Oryzias latipes: one gene and its partners. The protein of the gene in region 5 purifies or fractionates together with the protein of the main gene of each other region. This does not show direct contact. Links are inferred from orthologs where the notes say so. Each region holds a gene or a part of one and is shown on either strand. Other genes may lie near its edges.

The links.
Region 1: the proteins of ppp2cb (region 5) and strn3 purify together in Homo sapiens (affinity purification with mass spectrometry; 5 studies listed by BioGRID and IntAct, counting the BioPlex papers as one, with this or other methods). This does not show direct contact. The link is inferred for Oryzias latipes from reciprocal best matches to the Homo sapiens genes PPP2CB and STRN3.
Region 2: the proteins of ppp2cb (region 5) and sike1 purify together in Homo sapiens (affinity purification with mass spectrometry; 3 studies listed by BioGRID and IntAct, counting the BioPlex papers as one, with this or other methods). This does not show direct contact. The link is inferred for Oryzias latipes from reciprocal best matches to the Homo sapiens genes PPP2CB and SIKE1.
Region 3: the proteins of ppp2cb (region 5) and serine/threonine-protein phosphatase 2A 56 kDa regulatory subunit epsilon isoform purify together in Homo sapiens (affinity purification with mass spectrometry; 5 studies listed by BioGRID and IntAct, counting the BioPlex papers as one, with this or other methods). This does not show direct contact. The link is inferred for Oryzias latipes from reciprocal best matches to the Homo sapiens genes PPP2CB and PPP2R5E.
Region 4: the proteins of ppp2cb (region 5) and ccdc6 purify together in Homo sapiens (affinity purification with mass spectrometry; 3 studies listed by BioGRID and IntAct, counting the BioPlex papers as one, with this or other methods). This does not show direct contact. The link is inferred for Oryzias latipes from reciprocal best matches to the Homo sapiens genes PPP2CB and CCDC6.

Annotation. Positions count from the first base shown.
Region 1 is NC_019880.2:2,602,528-2,606,794, forward strand, and holds the start of strn3 (striatin-3), read right to left. Parts: upstream 2,810-4,267; 5' UTR 2,549-2,809; coding exon 2,312-2,548; intron 399-2,311; coding exon 295-398; intron 1-294. UniProt on the Homo sapiens protein: Calmodulin-binding scaffolding protein which is the center of the striatin-interacting phosphatase and kinase (STRIPAK) complexes.
Region 2 is NC_019865.2:1,582,250-1,586,388, reverse strand, and holds the start of sike1 (suppressor of IKBKE 1), read right to left. Parts: upstream 2,810-4,139; 5' UTR 2,539-2,809; coding exon 2,380-2,538; intron 2,257-2,379; coding exon 2,151-2,256; intron 2,078-2,150; coding exon 1,935-2,077; intron 1,837-1,934; coding exon 1,723-1,836; intron 985-1,722; coding exon 877-984; 3' UTR 1-876.
Region 3 is NC_019880.2:23,561,719-23,565,884, reverse strand, and holds the start of serine/threonine-protein phosphatase 2A 56 kDa regulatory subunit epsilon isoform, read left to right. Parts: upstream 1-1,357; 5' UTR 1,358-1,429; coding exon 1,430-1,467; intron 1,468-4,166. UniProt on the Homo sapiens protein: The B regulatory subunit might modulate substrate selectivity and catalytic activity, and might also direct the localization of the catalytic enzyme to a particular subcellular compartment.
Region 4 is NC_019873.2:18,424,300-18,428,274, reverse strand, and holds the start of ccdc6 (coiled-coil domain-containing protein 6), read left to right. Parts: upstream 1-1,166; 5' UTR 1,167-1,202; coding exon 1,203-1,457; intron 1,458-2,506; coding exon 2,507-2,656; intron 2,657-3,864; coding exon 3,865-3,975.
Region 5 is NC_019867.2:193,799-197,997, forward strand, and holds the end of ppp2cb (serine/threonine-protein phosphatase 2A catalytic subunit beta isoform), read left to right. Parts: intron 1-770; coding exon 771-941; intron 942-1,592; coding exon 1,593-1,766; intron 1,767-1,843; coding exon 1,844-1,933; intron 1,934-2,680; coding exon 2,681-2,842; intron 2,843-2,931; coding exon 2,932-3,050; intron 3,051-3,162; coding exon 3,163-3,235; 3' UTR 3,236-3,695; downstream 3,696-4,199.

The sequences.
Region 1 (4,267 bases), on a different chromosome or scaffold from region 5:
AAAAATCTTAATCCTTTTAATATAAAATTCTTGTTTTTAAAAGATGAAAATGATTTTAACCACAAGGGGAATCAACTTTAAGCTTGGGTCAAGGTTTTTCACATTGATTCTGACCTGAAACTTGTTTTTCTGCTATGAAATCACTTCCAAACGAACCTAATTCTCTGTTCGTAAAGTGAAGCATTCCCTCTGGATTTTAGTCGTTTTCCTGTTTGAAGGCAGAGATTTTTTTTTCTTTGGTCTCAAACATTTAGATGATAAAATGAATAAATTGAGATGAGTCGGGGTTCCTACCTTTCCTGTTTTAAAGCATATTCTAACATCTTGATTCTTCGAACCAGATCGTTCTTTAGGTTCTCCTGGCCCTTCCTCTCCCCCTGCAGGAACGCTATCCGGGCCTGGAAAGACGCAGAACAGAAACAAATGTTTCAAAACTCTTATGTACACAAAAATATTGTGTCAAGAAAACAACCGAGTCACTTCCAGAGAAACCAAATCCTCCTGGATCTTCTCTTTATGATAGGTTTCTGAAAGATATGGGAGTCACTCTTTAAAGATTGTTTACATGGTTGTTGAGTTGAGTGAGGTCATGTGACACCTACATGAATCAGACACTGGAAAGGAGGTTCGGTGAGCAGCTCAGCCTAAATGTATGGCGATGACAAACCAGACAGAGTTCCTGTGAGTCATCGGGAGCTTCTCAACACCCCTGACCAAAACAGCACATGTGGGCTGCAGTTATTCAACCACGTCACCTCATTAAAACGCCACTGTCGTTGTGTCAGTACAGCTATTTAAGACCGACGACGTCACACTGTCAGAGTTTTGCTCTGAATTCATGTCCAGAGGAGCAAAACGTGGCTCTGGAAGCTGGAAGATACAATACAATTGATTTTTTTTTTACATTTATTTTTGGCTTTTTGAGGTTGCTGTGTAAACATCTAGTGCCATCTAGTGGCAACATTGCAGAAGAACAAAAAGACTTAAAACATGAGGAGGAAAAATTTAATAAAATCTAAAAAATGAAAGAATTCGACAGTTTCTAATAAAAAAAGAATGATTTAAAAACACATTTATTATGTAAAATATTGTGTACATCAATAACAGCGCAGACATAATGCCATAACAGGAAAAAAAAGCATATTTTGGTTAAAACTAACTCCTTTTTCCTCGTTATTATAAACCCACCAGTGTCTCCTTCTGCTTCGTGAGTTAAATTTTAAGGGAATTTAAATATCAAATCTCCAAAAGGGAGATCCATGCAGTTTGATGTGAGAGCCTGACGTTGGTTCAGGGTCACCTACTTCTATAAATATCTGATTGGACCATCCTTTGGGTTGTGACATCACAGACCAGGATCAGAGCAGAATCCTCCGGCCTCTTCATCATCCTCATCCTGGAGACTCACAATACGTTCAATGGCTCTGAGGAGTAACCTTATTGTTCAATGGTGATGAAATGATATCACTACCAACACTCTCATTTTGTTTTTAGCCTTTATTAAAGCGTCCCCCCCCCCCCCCCCCCGACAGAAACATCTCCACAGCTGAGATGATGCCAGATATTCCTTCTAAAAACCCAAAAGGGTCTGCTTCTGTCACACAAACTGAGATGTAGAAGCAGCAGATCTGCTGCTGGACACGGCAAAGCCAACACACACCTGGAGCTCCATGAAGAACATGGAGCAGCTCCAGATCCCGCTTCTCTCATCGGGAAGTCATGTTTGTTTACAGGCTGTTTCCAAGGAGAAATCCACAGACTTCAAATGGAAAATGTACAGGAATTCATGTAAATAAATAAAAAAACTGACAGCAAATAAAGACCTAGAATGCAGGAGATCTTCCAGAGGGAGGTGTGACCTGAAAGATGCTTCGCAGCCAACCAGAGAACCAGAAAAAGCCACTTTTCTATGTATAGGTTGATTAAAAAAAACCTCCAGAATCACGGATTTGAATCGGTAAGGTCATTCGTTTAGGGTCGTCTGACTGTCACGAACAACATCTGACCAACATCTGGTCCAAATGTCAAAACAGCACGATTAACGTATCCACGGCGGCTGCAGGCTCCCGATATCTCAGTTGAGCCACGGGCTCCAAAGCTAACGGCCAACGCACTCAGACTCCCGGCTGGATAACAGACCTCCACGCCGGTTACTCGTCCCCCTTGACATGTCAGTGGGGCTCCGGTCGCTACCTTAAATTCACGTTAATACGTATACCGATAAAAGGTTATTTGAGATCCCCGGTGACTGTGGAAAAAAAGAAGCTAACCATGCTAATGCTAAGCAGCTAACCCATAGCGACGGACTAACCTGGAGTTCGGCCCGCTCCACCTCCCAGTGCGCCCTCTCCATTTCGAACCGGGCCCACTCGTGCTGGATGTAGTGTAGAATTCCCGGGATAGTGTACTGCTGCTGTGGCCGGGCTAACTCGTCCGTCTGCTGGGGCACCATGACCGTTCCGATGGGAGGTCCGGAGTTGCTCCCGTGCTGCTGCAGCGGCGGCGGCCGCGGGGAGGCCGCTCCTCCCCCGCCTGGGTGTTCGTCCATATTTCGGGTTTTGTTAGAACGTGCGGCGCCGTTTGTACTTAATGATTAGCTAACCGATTTTAAATATTAAAGAAGGAAAAAAAAAGGCGCCGAAGGCCTCGCGCGTCTCCGCCGGGGTACTTGTCGCGCTGGCACCGCCGCCGTGGAAGAGGCCGGCTGCCCCTGAGCGCTTAGCGGAGAGCGGCGACTTGGAGGCGGTGTTTACGTGTGAGTCTCACCGGCCGCCATCACTGCTGTCCGCCTGGATGTGACGGCTGCGAGGGGGAATCCTGCCGCGCTGCATGCCGGGAAATCCAGACACACATTTAGACCCCAAACCTAAAAATAAAATTACGGAGCCCGTGTCCTGACATTAAGATATAAAAATATATCTTGTTCCCACAGATTAATATCTTGTTCCCACAGGTTATTATGTCGTTCGCACGAAATACTATTCCGTTCCCACAAGATACTTTTCCGTTCCCACAAGATACTATTGCGTTCCCTCAAAATACTATTCCGTTCCCTCGAAATGATTAACTTGTGCGAACGCAATAATTATGTCGTTCGAACGCAATAATTAATCCGTTCGAACGCAATAATTATTCACGTCATAAGTCATTCACGCGGATATGCTCTCTGTACGCCGGCAAAAGCCGCTTTCAGCGGTAACTTCCGTGTCTCTGTGACCCATATTCGTTCAAAAAAGGAACATGAAAAACAAAAATGATCACTTTATTACCGTCTCAATGAATATAAGAAAAATATCAAAAGATTTATGATAACTAGGCTGCTTTGTCAAACGATAGCTCCTGCTAGGCTAGCTCCGCCGCAGAGCTCTCTGTCTGATCATGTATGCCGGCATTTGGGCAACTGGCTGGTCTGTTGTCAGACAGCTGATATTGTAGTTTAGGGTCGAATAGGAATAATAATATTCAGGACTTGTCTTTTATTAACTTTAGCAGTCAGTATTTTTACATTCGAAGGCTATTAGGCTACATGCTAACTGACTAGCCGATCATTTCCTGTTATTAATTTACGTCATAGATTTACAGCAGATACCTTCACATTTCTGTCTGTGTGTGTCTCATTACATTGCATTGAAGACACGGAGGATGTTTAGAGAACAGATTTATTTATTTTATTTATAAAAGCACAGAAGCATCCATCGTTTTCACGTTCACATCTGGTACGCCCTCAGTCATCTTGCTGCAAAAGCCGCTTCCTGCCGCTACTTCCGTGTCTCTGTGAGCATTCAATAGGGGTAAAAATAAAAGCAAGAATGGTCGATCTGTTATTTTCTCGATGAAAATCTGAAAAATATCATATTAAGCTGGATGCTTCGCCTAAAGCACTTACCTTTAGCTTGTAGCATAACAACAATAGCAGTACGTCCCGTTTCCCAGAGTGCTTTGCTGCAAATCACTGGCCAATCATTGGTCTTGTTGTTAGACCTTGGTCACAGGGACACGGTGATTGGCTAGTGATTGGCAGCAAAGCACTCTGGGAAACGGGACGTACTGCTATTGTTGTTATGCTACAAGCTAAAGGTAAGTGCTTTAGGCGAAGCATCCAGCTTAATATGATATTTTTCAGATTTTCATCGAGAAAATAACAGATCGACCATTCTTGCTTTTATTTTTACCCCTATTGAATGCTCACAGAGACACGGAAGTAGCGGCAGGAAGCGGCTTTTGCAGCAAGATGACTGAGGGCGTACCAGATGTGAACGTGAAAACG
Region 2 (4,139 bases), on a different chromosome or scaffold from region 5:
TCCAGCTTCCTCCCCAGTTCCCTTTCAGACATTCTGGATCCGTTAGCTTAAAACGACAACTGTCAAATATAGGGCTCATGCGGCGTTTAGGTTCTGTGGGAAATCCGAGCTTTCTGACGATTGTCTTTTTAAAATGTCACTTAAATGTGACAAATATTGTTACAACCAAACTAATGGAAATTATGAAAGTTGCGTGAAAAGGTGATTTGATAGGTTTTTAATAGCCTAAAAGCGTTTGCGCTGTACTTTTTCCGATCTCGCGATAGGTTTTTAGTAAGTTGACTCGATGCTGCCGCCCTGCGTTCGAAGAAGGGACAACACCTCAAATGCCTTGGAAAAACACTTCTTTTATTATTATCGTTTGATTTTGTTTTACACCAAACCATGAAGTTAAACTGAATTCCTGAGATGAAAACAGAACGTTTTTCATTCATACAAAAAAATTAAAAAACACCTACTGCACAAAATGCAACAGCACAAACCAAACTTCTGTTCATTCAAACAAACAGGTAAATATAATCAGAATAAACTGCTTGTTTTCCCCAAAGGTCCTCTCTGTTGTGAAACAGAGCGGTGCTTGGCTTTAATAGGAGGCAGTAGAGATTGTGTGAACATCAGGGGTCCAAAAAAACTATGACGATTAAATATATATCTTTGGCAAAAAAATACTTTAAATCTACTTTGACAGCACGTGTTAGAATCTAATAAATACACCTCAAAGAACAGCTAATTGAATGCCGTCCACAGTAACACTTTAATTATTATCTTAGCTGCAGACAAGATGATAGATCTTTTTTTTGTATTAAAGATGCCGTATGACTTTCTATAAATAAATCCATTTGAGGGAATAAATTCACACGCAGAGCTCGATGGAGCTCATGAAGTCGGTTCTGCTGCTTCAGGCTGGTGGGGTTCTTCTTTTTTTGACATTTTGATGCTTTCTTTGCTGATGACCAAAAGGTCCTGAAGCTCCTTGTTCTCAATCTGAAAGAGAGAAAAAAACCAAGAGACTGAATACTTTCCTCCCAACGGACTCCATCTACTACTTTTCTTCTTCACTAAAACAAAAGATTTAAATGTGTACATGTGATAAGATTTACACGTCTTTCACAATTAAAATGTTGTACTGCCTATATTGTTTGTTGTTCTAGATAAAAGAAGAGTATGAAATAAAGACAAATGCCTACATTCTCTGTATTAAAGTATTTTACATAGAACATTTGAAAAAAACCAAAGTCTTGTTAAAAACGCCAACCTGGGACTGAGTTGCCTAAACACAGCAGTTTTCATCATTCTTAGTTTTTTTAATGTATATAAAATGATTTTATAGGAAAAAAGAACATTTATGCAATAAAGCTGCAAGAATCAAACAAATATGTGATCTTTAGAATGTTTTACTGGACAGCTTCCTGTTTTTTAGAAAAAGACATTTCGTTCAAAACCTTCAGGCTACAACTTTATCTCTGGAAGTTTTTAAGAGAAAAAAAAAGGTTTCTGTAAGTTTTAAGTGACGCAGTGAAGTCAGATCTGGAGGTGAAATGGATGGATGGACCAAAACAAAAGGAGTTCCTTCTCAGATCTTTGGTTCTTGTGACAAACGTCTGCTGTTGTGAAGGTTTTCGTGGGCCCTCCTCCGTCCCCTCTGCTGCTTTTAATACTGCTTTAGGGGGAAGAAATGACCTCTGACCTCTTGGGGAAAGAGGCTCGATCGTCGGTACTCACCTCCAGCTGAGCCAGCCTCTCTCGAACGGAGCAGTAGTGCTGATCGTCCACCTGAACGGCTCTTCTCATCACCTGACCCATCTCGCATATCTGCTCCACCTTGTTCTGCACTTCCTGTAGAGACAAGTAAAAACGCCACGAGTTTTCTCCCAAAGCCGGCCCTCAAAGAGACGATGTCACGCTGCACAAAGATGGTGTGAAAGACGCTGTACTTTGGCGTAATCCTGGTGGAGGCTCAGAACCGGTTTGGTGTCCAGCTCCTTCTTTGCCATCATCAGCTGCAGCATCTGCTTGCGGTACCGACCCATGATGAGTTCCAGAGCGTACTGGTGTTCTTCAAGAGACAGCCATAATTCTGAGGAGAAAGTCCACCCAGAGGGTTAGAACAAACACGACCCACCGTGGAAACCGCCCGAACAGAATCCTACCTTTGTTCTCCTGCTGCAGATCCTTGATTTGAGTGTTTTCTTGGGTCAGAAGAACATGAGGTTTGTACTTTGTGAGCTCCCGTAGTTCTGCATTGTCTTCCAAGTGCTGTCAAACAAAATGTACTAACATGTTATTTACTAGCAAAAGTTATCCATTAAAAAATCCCACTGGTATTTTCAGCAGCTATGGCCGCCCAGCACCTGAACGTCTCATCCGCCGAGTCTTTACCTTCTCCGGAAGGGCATTTCCCACCTCCTTCATGTCCTGCACTCTGCGGCTGAGGGCCCCGGACTGCTCGATCAGACCCTCGGCGGCCGTGTCGTGCTCCTTCAGCCTCTCGAGGAGGGTCCGAGCGTCGCCCAACACTTTCTCCAAAGTGCAGGCCATTTACTGGAAAGCGTCAGGTCCGCGGGGCGACGCGATCGAGCCCCTGCTTCACGAGCGCGGTTCCAGCGAAACTCCCTCCAACTAAGTTGGCTCGAGCTCGGCGCGTAACCGCGGCGCTTCCGAGCACAAGCCTTGCGGGAACTTTCCCGCCTAACGCCTGCACTGTTTTCACACGGTATGGAGAAAACGGTCAAAACAGCAAACAAACGCTTTAAAAGTACCCCCACCTATCCGTCAAGCAGACGATACACTGCGATCAATGATGACGTCACTTCCGCGTTTTCCCCGCCCCCTCTTATGATGCATTCAAAGACAATAATGATAAGGAAAAATAATGATTATCAATGAAAACGAATTAATCTACAACAAAACGTACTAATTTCTTTGCAATCAGAATCGAATAAAGTATATGAAGAAAAAGCAGGAGAAGCCTTTGTTAGATCCAGAAGAAAATGGTTAGAACAAGGTGAAAAATGTACTAAATACTTTTTCAACTGAGAACAAAGAGATTTTGAAATTTCCTGTCTGCGTCAAATTAAAATTGGTAATTCAATAAGTGAAGATACAAAAAAGGTTTCTCAATATGTTGCAAAATTCTATCAGGAAACTTACACTAAAATTTGCTTTAGAGAAGAAGATATTGAACTATTTATCAACAATATTAAAGAAAAGATTGGAAAAGTAATTGAAACCTTTGAAAAGTCTTGTGACCAGAAAATTAAAACAGAGGAAGTTGAAAATTGTAGTAAATCTCTTAAAGATAATAAAAGTCCAGCAAATGAAGGACTAACAAGTGAGTTTTATAAATGTTTTATTGCCAAATTAACCTCTTTTCTAGCTAATTTATTTGAAGAAGTGTTAGAAATTGGTATATTGCCCCCAACTCTCAGACAAGGCATCATCAAACTCATCCCCAAACCACAAAAAGATAAATTATGCATAGAAAACTGGAGACCAATTAGTCTGTTAAACAATGATGCTAAAATATTTGCTCTCATTTTTACCAAAAGATTAAAACCAGGACTGGATAACATTATTGAAGAAGAATGATCTGCTTTCATGCCTGGTAGAAATATTGCCAACAATATCAGATTAATACTAGATATCTTCTTCCTCTTTCGGCTTCTCCCATCAGGGGTCGCCACAGCGAACGCGTGGTAAACAGGGCGTGGTAAATTTGGCAACGTTTTTATGCCGGATGCCCTTCCTGACGCAACCTTCTCAAACTGGGCTTAGGACCGGCACAGAGGTAGAGAAGGGAGCAGGGAGCAGCCTGGAGTCGAACCCTGGTTTCACGGACAGAAGGCGCCGCAAACACGAGCTAAACCGGCTCCCAGATTAATAGTAGAAATGATTGATTATAATGAACATATTAGAGATGATGGTTTTATCTTATTTGTTGACTTTTACGAGGCATTTGACATAATTAGTCACAGTTTTATGACTCCAGTTATAAAAGAATTTGGATTTGGTAAAAGATTTTTAAAAGTGATGGAGGGTCTGTACAATGGATGCAACAGCTCCATTAAAGTTGCACATGGCACAACTCCTAGATTTGACACAAACAGAGGAATATGGCAGGGATGTCCTCTTAGCCCTTT
Region 3 (4,166 bases), on a different chromosome or scaffold from region 5:
GTAAACAAACTAGTGAGGGAAACCCAAAGAAGCTAACCCAACTCAAGGACTTTTTTTTTAATTCCATACATCTGTACTTTTTTATCGTCTGGCAGTCCGATCAATCCAGTCCAAGTTTTGACGCTTGGTAACCTGTGAAAGGCTGGTGAACCAAAACAGCCCACTTAGAAAGTCAAATCACATGATTCATTTCTGCTGCCATGAAGTAGGTTTTGTGTTGTGGAGGTGGTGAGGTTGACAATGTCCAGAGTTTTTTTTTTTTTTTTACTTTTTTGCACAAAGATGTTTTGTTTTTCACACCTTGGGGGATTTATGACCCTAGCAGGATTTGTTTTTACTGCTGAGCAGTGTTTTCTGACGCCTCGTGTTACCGCTCTGCTCAGTAACAGCTGTTCACTCTGCCTGATGATTACGCCAGGTTTCTTCTTTAAAAACTGTTTGCGGGGCTGCAGGTAATTCTTTTTGGGGTGCGTCAAAACAACAAAAGAGGAGGTGACGGGGCGTGTCTTTATGGTGGAACAGAACCGGAAACATAGTGGATAGAAAAATATGGTCGCTTGAACGCGTTTTTAAAGTGTGTTCATGGTCATTGTGTCTAAAAGATTAAAGCAGAATCTAATCGGCAGTAATTTACATGTTTGTAAATATTTAAATTTTGGTATCTATGGGTAAACGGCAACTGTATTTTTTCACACTTTGCTAAAAATCGTAAACTTTAAATACCCGTTTTAAACTGTAAACATGAGAAAGGACTAGTTTTTTAGTTTCTCTAGATGGGAAAACTTTTACTTATTGAGGGACAGTGAAATGTGCTTTAAGGGTAATAAGAACCGACTTGTCTAATTCTAATCAAGGAAACAATGGTTTTCAACAGGGTCCTTTAGATTTGAATGGGATGCAGGCCTTAGAGGGGTAACAGGATATCCTGTCCATTAAATGTATCTTCTGAGATTTACCTGCAGTTCTGTTCTGCTGAGGAACTGCTTAGCATGAAAGCTTTGAGTTCAATCTTTGGCCAAGGAGTCAAATACCCGGGTTGTCCTTGCAGCTTTGTTGTTTTTTGATTGTGCATGCATGTTTCCCTCTGTGTGTCCACTTTCTTTAGCCTTGGTGCTGCCTGTTTGTTGACTTCCTGTCAAACAGTGGCTCCCTCCCTCCTCTTCCTTCTTTTCTGTTGCTCTTACCGCTGCCCGCTGTACCCCCTCCTGGCTCCTTTCTCCTTGTTCTTTAATCTCACCCTCCCTGAGCCTGTGTTGGGTGTCATCAGGCCTCTTATGTAATGGACATGTACAGGACGGTGACTGATGCTGTGGAGCCGTGCGCCTGACCGGTCTCCACAGTCCTGCTTTCATCCGTGTCCTTTGGTGCTTCTGGTGGTTTGCTGCTGGTTGCTGTCCAGTCTGAGGGAGGCCTTTTGAGAAAGGGACTGATGGTTGTAAAAGAGGATTGTAGTGCCTCTTTGCAAAGGTAAGGGCATTTGGTGTGCCTGTACATGCATCACATTTTCCTTTGGCTGTAGAATATCTTTACCCTCATTGATGCTGCCGTTTACTGCAGATCCTCCTTGTACGCCTTTACAACAGACTCCATTATTGCAGAGTAGAGCTGGTTTATCAGAACTGAAGGAAGTGTATAGCTGGGGTTGAAGTTTTACCTGCAGAAAATCCTCAGTCTGAACCTTTTCGAATTGTAATGAGTCAATCTGCTAATCTTTTTGTTTTTACCCCCTTTCAACACGATGGGCATACTAGTCTTTGGTGTGTTTGAGGAAAAGTTGTTAAATGAACAAGGTTATTTGAAAGGCATGTGTACTTTTTGAACATTTGATGAGGTTCTGAACTGTCTCATTAAAAATAAAAGGCATTCCTGGTGTTTTCAAATGTTTGTGAGATTAGATTAGAATTGTCAGGGTGCCAGATTTCAGACGAGGCTAATCCTACGATGTGTTTAGCATTGCGCTGTATAGCTCAAATACCATATATTTTTACTGCCGTATTCATTTTAGACTATTTAGATTAACGTTATTTTTATTTGAGTGTGTTTATAGGAGAGTTTGATAATTAAACATTTAAGTGAAAGTCATGAAACAACTGAAGCCACACTTTAGTCCTCATATGTCAGCACAGCAAGACTTGTTACCACTTAAACCGGCAGCAGAAGAATTTATCTGCTCCAAGAATTTTCCACTTAGGTAATGGCATTCTGTAAATGAGGGTAAACCTTTAACACACATGGAAAAATGTTGTCTGACCAGATTTCCTCGTGCCATACTTGTAAGTTTATATAGCCTTGTAAGGCTGCACAATATGAGGATATTAGGGATCAATATTGCGATGACGATCTTACTTGCTATATATAAACAAATAGCAAAACAACCAAAAACATAATTTCTATGTCACTGCAGTTTAATTTAAATAAGAGTCAACATATCTTAAATTATACCCCAAATGAAATAGTCTACATGGGAGGAGAGCATCTAACATAATAAAAGGGCTTCATCCGATTGGTCAAATGCATAAATGGGTTTATTTAATTCGCTAAATACTTCAAGCTGCCATAAAATTGTTTTAGCACATTTAAAGTAACCATTTATTGCGATTTTTGCCGTATTTTGCGATATGCATATTGCACAGCTTGATAACGCGGTAACGGTAAATTTGCGATTGAGTATGTAGGCCTATAGCCTTGTTATTGTCTTTTTATTGATTTATTTACATTAATTGCATTTTAAAGAGTCATTATATTAAATCTGGAACAACAAACCATCTTGTATATCGGTCTAGACTGCAACACTTTGATGAAAAGACTTAAATGAACGGACTCAAACTGACCAGAAGTAACAGCACAGAATCATCAGCGGGTTCAAATATTACCAAATTTTAAATTTAGACCGTTCTGCTGACCCACAAAAATCTAGACTAAAACTTTCTTTAATGAGCTATAAAATGACTGTGGAAGGCGAACATGTTAGAGATTCCCTGTTATTGTTTTACCACCACCACACTTTCAAATGTAGAATGAGAAACGGGCAACATTTTAAACGCTCAGTGTGCTGTTCATGGTAACCCTCACTCTCATGCTCAGAGTCAAAACCAGGAAAAAGTTCAAGTTCTTCTTGCTCAGTTCAGCCAACACCTTCTGAGCTAGCCGAGTTGTGTGGGTGGAAATATTCCACCATGGCTTTGATGACTCTGACGTTTCCTCAGTATGTTTGACTGAACACATCTAATCCAGGTAATCTTTGCTGGGAAAGATGGGGAAAAAGGACATGGTAGGGGATCTGGAAGATTAGGGTTGGGCAGCCCGGTTCTAGACTGGTCTTTGAAAAAGCAGTAGGTAAATGCAATCCATACATGCATAGGCCAATTATGGCAGAATTCATTAATGATTGGAAAGGTGCAGATGTGTCATCAAATATTTATGGTTAAGTTTAGGTAAAGCAGGTTCAATTGAAATGAACGCTTTTAGCTTTTCAAAGACCAGCTCCAGAAGAGCTTTGAAGGAGGTGCTTCAGATATAGGCAGGGACATGATAAAGAGAAGGGGTGATGGTTTCAATTATCTGTGCAGTACAGATGAGTGGGAAACAAAATAACGCTTGAGACAACAATGAGGACGACGCTCACAAACCTACTGCTTCAGTAGCATCCGCCAATGCTGAACTCACCAGTTGGCTGATCAGGAATGCCGCTTTTCTCCATACCTTTAAAATGCTAGACATTAGCGTGTCTCAGAGCGGATCCAGCTGCTGATTGTTCCACCCATTTCCTTTGTCTGGGAGGAGGCAGAACATGAAGACATGCTGAGGGAATTTAGGATGAACTCACCATAATGCTAACTACCGTAGTAACTGGTGTCACTTACACTATTCCTCACAGGGAACTCCTTAACATCTGCTGCTTTTGAAAAAAAAGTTTTTATTCTTCACTTGGTATTTCCTTACTTATAATTCAGCGTTAGAAATAAAGGGGAAAAAATGGTTGTCCTCTGGACAACCTGGCAAGTAATATTTGGTTGTCCTCACCAATTTTTGGTTGTCCTTCGATACCAATATTCAACAGCAACGAAACCTACTCAGATGACAGTACTTACATCTCTTCTATACATCTAATAGCAACTGCCTCTTATGATGGATATTTAAAAAACTTTAAATATTAAAAACAAACA
Region 4 (3,975 bases), on a different chromosome or scaffold from region 5:
CTGCCTCCCCTGTAAAAAACTTTCCCTCCCACGTCTGACATAATTTCTGAGTCAACATTAGCATCAGTATTGACAAAGATTAAGAAACCATCAATACATGCTTCTTTGAGCATTATAAATGGTATCTCAGGTAAAAGAACTGCTGTTTGAATATTATTAACAATATTAAAACTGTTTGACGTGTATTTTTGATTGTTTCATTTGTAATGGCCTTCCACTCTGCTGTTCCCATTTCCCACTCTTCTAAAGTCTTTTCCCTTCTTCCTCCCTCCCCACGTAACCTTTGTGCTATCCTAGGCACTTTAACGTTGGAAGTTGGGTCATCTAGACCGACTAGACAGTCCACTGAACCTTTTTTCTTCAATGATTTGTGAACCTCACTGGTGAACACGTCAAATTAAGGGTGGGGTCATCTAAGATAGCACAAGGGTTACAATGTTCAAGCTTCTCCACTGCACCCAACAAATAGGACTACAGCAAAAACATTTTCTAATGAGTGTTAATAACGGCCTGGAATTATCAGAATCAGAATTAGAATTATTTTATTGATCCCACATGTGGGAAATTTCTGCGTTACCATAGCAGTTTGTAACCATGAAAAGAAAATGTAATAAAATGAAAACAAGTAAATGTAAACAAGTAAGATGGTATTATCATTTAAAAACTATGAATATTATGAATAGCTAACAATTAAATGGTTAATATTTGTATTAAATATTTGTCATTTACAGACTTATACAATAATGTTATAGTATAAAAAATGTCATAATATTAAGTTAAACAGCAGCTGGATGGCTCAGTGGGCTGTGTGTATGCGTGGTGCATAGGAAACAAGGGTTTGTTTCCCAGGGGGTGGGATGAGCTCGATCCAGTTTGGAAGCAAGGCCTTTCATGCTCCTGATCAACACTGCAGCCACAAGGGGGCGCAAAAAGCACGGCCAAACCAAATGTGCGACTCAGTGAAAGCTGATTCACTGTGGCGACCTCTGACGAGGTATGTTGGAAGGAATAAGATTTCAGGTTATATATAAAATAAAATTTAAATATGGGTTTACTATCTTTGTTTATATTTTTCAGTCATAAACAGTCAGGGACCTCAGTAAATGGTATACTTCCTTGTAAATTTTGGCCCTTTTGGCTTGCCATAGTATCTGCAACTGCTGTCGTCCATCCTCCCCTGCTTCACACACTGTCGCACAGCCATGGCGGACAGCGCGAGCGAGAGCGACACTGACGGTGCGGGGAGCAGTTCAGCCACTCCGATGTCATCCTCTGCCTCCAGTTCTGCAAAACCGAGCATAGTCATTTCACAGTTTCGTCTGGAAGAGCTGACAAATCGTCTTGCATCGTTACAGCAGGAGAACAAAGTTCTTAAAATTGAGCTGGAGACGTTTAAACTGAAGTGCAAAGCCCTGCAGGAGGAGAACCGAGACCTTCGCAAAGCTAGCGTCACCATTGTGAGTAACGTTAGCAAGCTAACTGCTATATGCTATCCCACGCTATAAGTACAGTTCATTTGTCAGCAAGTAAGGAATGCTCGTTTTTGTGTAATTTGCCAATAAATCACAACAATATAATAATTCTAATTTGAATGCAATTGAATTTATGTTTTTCTCTGTTTAGCTGTTTTTTAACTGTAACATTGTTGCTAAATTAGCCAGCAAAGCTGCTTTGTTTTTTTCCTTTAGCTAATTTTGGCTAACGTTAGCAAAACTGTATCAAAACGATGCCAAACTAAACGTGGACTCATCGGTACACAATTTAAAATATTTACTTTTTGTCATTTGGATTGGGAGGGTTTCTCTTTGATAACGTCGTTGATACATTAGCAAGAAGATTAAAGGTGTCTGAATGAAAATTAATAAATCAGCTACAAAAAATGTGCATGAATTGTCGCGTCGTCATGTGTCTGCATGCTTGGCCACTGAGCCACAGCTTCATATAAATGTGTAACAGATCTGTTGGATGGATGAAGAGTATGTAGACCAAACTTAACGAGCTCAACAGACTGCCAAATAACTAAGTTTGTGAGTGTGAGGAAATTAAACCTTCAAACTGTTCACTTTCTTGTAGCTGAATTGTCACCAACTATTTTGAATTCTTGTTTATTAATAGATTTTCCTCAAAAACATCTCAAGTTGTCAGTTCTTGTTAACCTTGAATGAGAGGAATTGGGGATGAATAATGAGACTGGCAAGGGCAAACGTATCATCACACTGAAATGCTAGCTGCTCCCCCAAGCCCTACACATTGCAGCCCTAATGTGTCACTCCTTCCTGCGCTGCAAGTCAGCTTATACTGCAATATCTATTGAGTCATCTGGTCAAATTAAGCTCCCTATTTGGCTTGCAGACTTCACTGCAGCAGACTGAGTGAGTGGTGTATATCTGTCAATTTCTCCTGGGATCGTTTTTACGTTTTAATCAAGATAAAAACCGCTTTGCTTTGCCATGTCCGCCAGGTCCTTTCTTTAATTCCTGATCCTATATATCTTTCCTCCCCACAGCAAGCAAGAGCGGAACAGGAGGAAGAGTTTATCAGCAACACTTTGTTCAAGAAGATCCAGGCCCTCCAAAAGGAGAAGGAGACCTTAGCAGTCAACTATGAGAAGGAGGAAGAATTTCTCACCAATGAGCTGTCAAGGAAACTCATGCAAGTGAGTTTGTTTGTGAGAATTTTAATGGCTTAATAGATTCAAGAACCGATTTATTTGATCTTTATTAATTTACTACTGTTTTTTTTATGGAGAAAAAACAGAGTTGTGTAAAATAAAAATGCCAAATAGGAAATCCTCTTCAACCTTAGTCTCTCACCTCGTTTCACATGTTTAAATACACGAGTGGGAAAATTTGGCAGTAGGAACAAAACGACTTACTTCCTTGTCTAACCTCTATAATGATTTTATTTGTTTGACTTGGTGCCACTTGACAACTTTTCAATGATATGAACCCAAATTATTGGCCAGTTATTGTGATGTGATGTGACAATAATGGTTTTCCTCTGTTGAAAATGCTGTATTATTACTGAATCATCAGTGGGTTCAACTGATTGTGGTAAAACATTTCAAATACAACACTGTTACCTTTAGTTGCCTCTTAAAAACGGCGAGTTTCTTAAAGTTTATTTAATAGAGCTTACATTTCTCTGACTAAACTAATAATAGAGACAGCTTTAAAATCTTTGTCACATATTTAAAAGTGGTAGTTAAACATTTGTTGTTCAGCCAATTGAATATGCTACCTTATAATAAAGATGGTGTGCTGGAGTCTTTTTAGAAGTCAACAAATCTATCAGTTCCTTTTCTGGAGCTGCAGGAGAAACTGTACATGTTTTGTTACGAAAGGATAGAGAGGTGGGAGTCATTTGATCTAAATTATCATTGAGGCTGTGACTAAGACCACCGTTTGTTTTGTTTCTGTCAAAATAAAGGGTTCAATTAAACAAATTTGAAATATTTTTTGTCATTTCCCTTAGTTGGATTATGAAAATTGTCATTTCCACATTTTCTCTGCAGCTTTTCCCTACACAAGTTCAAATGGCCGTCTGCATTATGACTAATCACTTGCATAATCCATTGTAGAGAGGCCCTATTTTGAATTACATTCTGCCACACCCTTACTGAGCTTCCAAAAAACTGCTATGTTTTAGTCCAAATGGATGTTTTTTTTTTCTCTCTCCATCATTTTGAAAGTATTTTGAAAATTAAAACCAAATTCTGTGATCTGACAACTGGTTTAAATGGTTTTAGCATGACTAACTATGAAATGTCTCCCTGTCTGCTTGGCTAGTCTTTTCTGTCCTTGGTTTAGTCTGTTTCACTCACGTCTTTTCATTTCTTTGCCCTTGTTTCTTTTTCCTCCATAGCTCCAGCATGAGAAGGCAGAGTTGGAGCAGCACCTTGAGCAAGAGCAAGAGTTCCAGGTTAACAAGCTCATGAAAAAGATCAAGAAAATGGAGAATGAAACCATTTCAAAG
Region 5 (4,199 bases):
CTGATGCTACCATGCTATGATACTAAATGCTACCATGCTATATGCTACCATGCTATGATACTAAATGCTACCATGCTATGATACTAAATGCTACCATGCTATAATGCTAAATGCTACCATGCTATAATGCTAAATGCTACCATGCTATGATACTAAATGCTACCATGGTATGATGCTAAATGCTACCATGCTATGATACTAAATGCTACCATGCTATGATACTAAATGCTACCATGCTATGATACTAAATGCTACCATGCTATGATACTAAATGCTACCATGCTATGATACTAAATGCTACCATGCTATGATACTAAATGCTACCATGCTATATGCTACCATGCTATGATACTAAATGCTACCATGCTATGATGCTAAATGCTACCATGCTATGATACTAAATGCTACCATGTTATGATACTAAATGCTACCATGCTATGATGCTAAATGCTACCATGCTATGATACTAAATGCTACCATGCTAAATGCTACCATGCTATGACGCTAAATGTTACCGTGCTATGACACTAAATGCTACCGTGCTATGATAATAAATGCTACCATGCTAAATGCTACCATGCTATGATGCTAAATGCTACCATGCTACATGCTACCCTGCAATGATGCTAAATGCTACCATGCTATGCTAACGAGCTGTTCCGTGTGTCATCTACATGTGATCACGGTTTAGTCAGACTTTGTTTTCACGTAGCGGATTTTAATACATGACGGATAAATGCAACATGACTTGATGATGACGGTCTCCTCAGGTGCGATGCCCGGTGACCGTGTGCGGCGACGTTCACGGTCAGTTCCATGACCTGATGGAGCTCTTTAAGATCGGAGGGAAGTCTCCAGACACCAACTACCTGTTCATGGGAGACTACGTGGACAGGGGCTACTACTCTGTGGAGACGGTCACGCTGCTCGTCACGTTAAAGGTAACCCTCGTTAGCAGACCTTCCTGCTGAGAGTGGGAGCGCCTGAGGAGGTGGGACTGCATCTGATTGTTGTCAGCAGTCTTCTGTGGTCACACCTGCACAACTGTCAGGTTTCTGCCAAATGGTAATATGGGAGGCCGTACCTGCAGTTGGAAGAGGTGTGTTTGTGTGGCAGAGCGGCAGCGGCAGTGTTGTGTGTTCCTTTCTGTGTGTTTCTATGTTTCCGTGTGTGTTTGTGTTTCTGTGTTCGTTTCAAGGTTTCCGTGTTTCTATGTGTCCGTGTGTGTCTGTGTGTTTGTGTTTTCTCTGCGAGTTGGCGGCTGTTTTAAGAAGAAATGTTCTTAAAGGTTACCTGTTTTTAATCTTAATGGTTGTCCGTTTTGGACCGCAGACACTTCTCCTGAATAAGGAAATTAATCTTGAAGTCGGTCTTTTCAGTGGCTGTAACTCCGCCCACCTCCTCAAAGTTTGCTGTAAAGGCGGAGTCAGAGGTCCCGCCTCTGCGTGCAGCTTTGTGGTTGTCGTTGGAGGACTTTAGTCTCGTTAACCAGATCGCAGAGGTCTTTCCTCGGTTTCTCCGGAGGTGTGCGATGTGTGATGCTGTGGAACCTGCTGGCAGCTGGCAGTGTTCATGTGAGGTTTCATGCGCAGGTTCGATTCCCAGAGAGGATCACTATACTGCGAGGGAACCACGAGTCCCGTCAGATCACACAGGTCTACGGATTCTATGACGAGTGTCTGCGGAAATACGGCAACGCCAACGTCTGGAAGTACTTCACAGACCTGTTTGACTACCTGCCGCTCACTGCGCTGGTGGACGGGCAGGTGAGAGCCGCTACACCCAGACCGTCAGGCCATGGAAGCAGGAGCTCTACAGACACTGTCCTTTGCTGTCCTTTCAGATTTTCTGTCTCCACGGCGGCCTGTCTCCCTCCATAGACACTCTGGACCACATACGAGCTCTGGACCGCCTGCAGGAGGTCCCGCATGAGGTACACGCTCCTCACTGGACGTCCCGCTCAAGTGTTTTGGGCCTTACGTCATTCCAATCCTTTGATTTGGAGTTTGTGCCGATACAGAGTCCTGATCCAAAACTTTTGTGAAGTACTTTAAAAAAAAACAAAAAAAAAAACAAATTAATGAACAGATCCATTTTTTCTTTTATTCTCCTCCTTTTATCATTCAACACTTCTACGATTAAGTAAATCCTGCAGCTATCTAGTACGAATAGTTAACTATAAACTAGTCAAAACTGCTGATAATCATGGCAGAAAGTTTGGGGACTGAAGCTTTAGTATCCTCAGAATTGTTGAACATTTTTAATCGGAACAGGAAAAAATCTCAGCGCCGTTTTCAATCCTGATGGTTTTTCTCTTAAAATCCTTTCGTAGGTCGTTGTTTACGTGACACTTGCCGTCAGTTGAAAACATTTTATTAAGAGTCATTGACCCGGAACTCGAAGCTGTGAAAAATTGTGGTGATTCGTTGATGAAATGCAGACTTCTAGTAGAGTATTTATCTGGAATAATAAGCTTGAAATGATGGTATAATCGGGTTAGGGTTATGTCCGATCGGGAGACACGTCTGATTTCAATCCAGTCTGCAACCGATCGATCAACTCCGGTTTGCGATCACGTGGTCGGAGCGGGACAGCCCCGACAGCAGCGTCCTCCTCTGCTGCAGAGCAGAAGGTAAGAGCTGCACAGGTTGGTGTTAATCTGACTCCCCCCACCCCCCAGGGCCCCATGTGCGACCTGCTGTGGTCTGACCCGGATGACCGCGGTGGGTGGGGCATCTCTCCCAGAGGTGCTGGCTACACTTTTGGACAGGACATTTCTGAAACCTTCAACCACGCCAACGGCCTAACTCTGGTGTCCCGCGCCCATCAGCTGGTCATGGAGGTGAGACTCCTCATACACACACACACACCCCCGGCTGTTAGGATGGATGGGCCGTTTGTGATCATGCACCCCCACCCCTCTGTCTGCAGGGCTACAACTGGGGTCACGACAAGAACGTGGTGACCATCTTCAGCGCCCCCAACTACTGCTATCGCTGCGGCAACCAGGCAGCCATCATGGAACTGGACGACACCCTGAAGTACTCTTTGTAAGTCCCACCCCCCCGGGTGTCTCTGGATGGAACATTCCTAGAGAGTCCAATCATCATTTCATCCAACGTGTCTCTGAATCGCACCTTTACTTTCATCCTCTCTCTACAGCCTGCAGTTTGACCCCGCCCCCCGCCGCGGCGAGCCTCATGTGACTAGACGCACTCCTGACTACTTCCTGTGAATGTCCTATTGTCCCCCATAAGTCATTCACCAAGCCCCGCCCCTGCCCCACCCCTCTCATTTTGAATGGAGAAGATGCATTGAGCAGATTCAACAGAGCGGTGATGTCACTAAAGCTGAGCTTCAGCCGCATGTTAACCTTCATCTTCTCCATCTGACATGTTTGAAAACAGGAGAATAAAAAAGTACCGACGTGGACCAAATGTGCCATATTTTGATCCTTTTCCAACAACTGTTTTTGTTTTTTAGAGCTCACTATATCCCCGCCCGTCTCCACCTTCATCCATCTGTGCTTTCTTTCTGTTGCCAGATCAGTTTAAAGGAAACGTAGGAGAGTTTGCTTCAGTAGAACAGCTCTGAGTTTCAGCTGTTAAGGCTGCAGCCAGCAGTCATCTCTACTATATTACTGTAATTTCAATGAAGACAACAGACATGTGAAATAAAATGTCCTATTGACAAACCGCTGCTGTCCGTCTGCTCTGTGCCAAACAAACTGACAAACCTGGATGACATCACAGGGGTTCACTGACACCTGGATGACATCACAGGGGTTCACTGACACCTGGATGACATCACAGGGGTTCACTGACACCTGGATGACATCACAGGGGTTCACTGACACCTGGATGACATCACAGGGATTCACTGACACCTGGATGACATCACAGGGATTCACTGACACCTGGATGACATCACAGGGATTCACTAGCTGAATTTACATGGACAAAAGTAATCGGAAAGAACGCCTGATCGGAAGAAAAATGCGTCATGTAAACACGCCGTTCGTAATACTCTGACTTGTTCGGATCAAAATTTCTTTCCGATCGAGATAGGTGGGTTATGCCGATTGTGGATTCGATCGTTGTTCATGTAAACAGTTCATTCCGATCGTGTGTCACTACTGCTCTGGTTTGACGTCATACATAGATGGTGTTTTGCTCCATAGAAGCTTTGGACCGACCTGC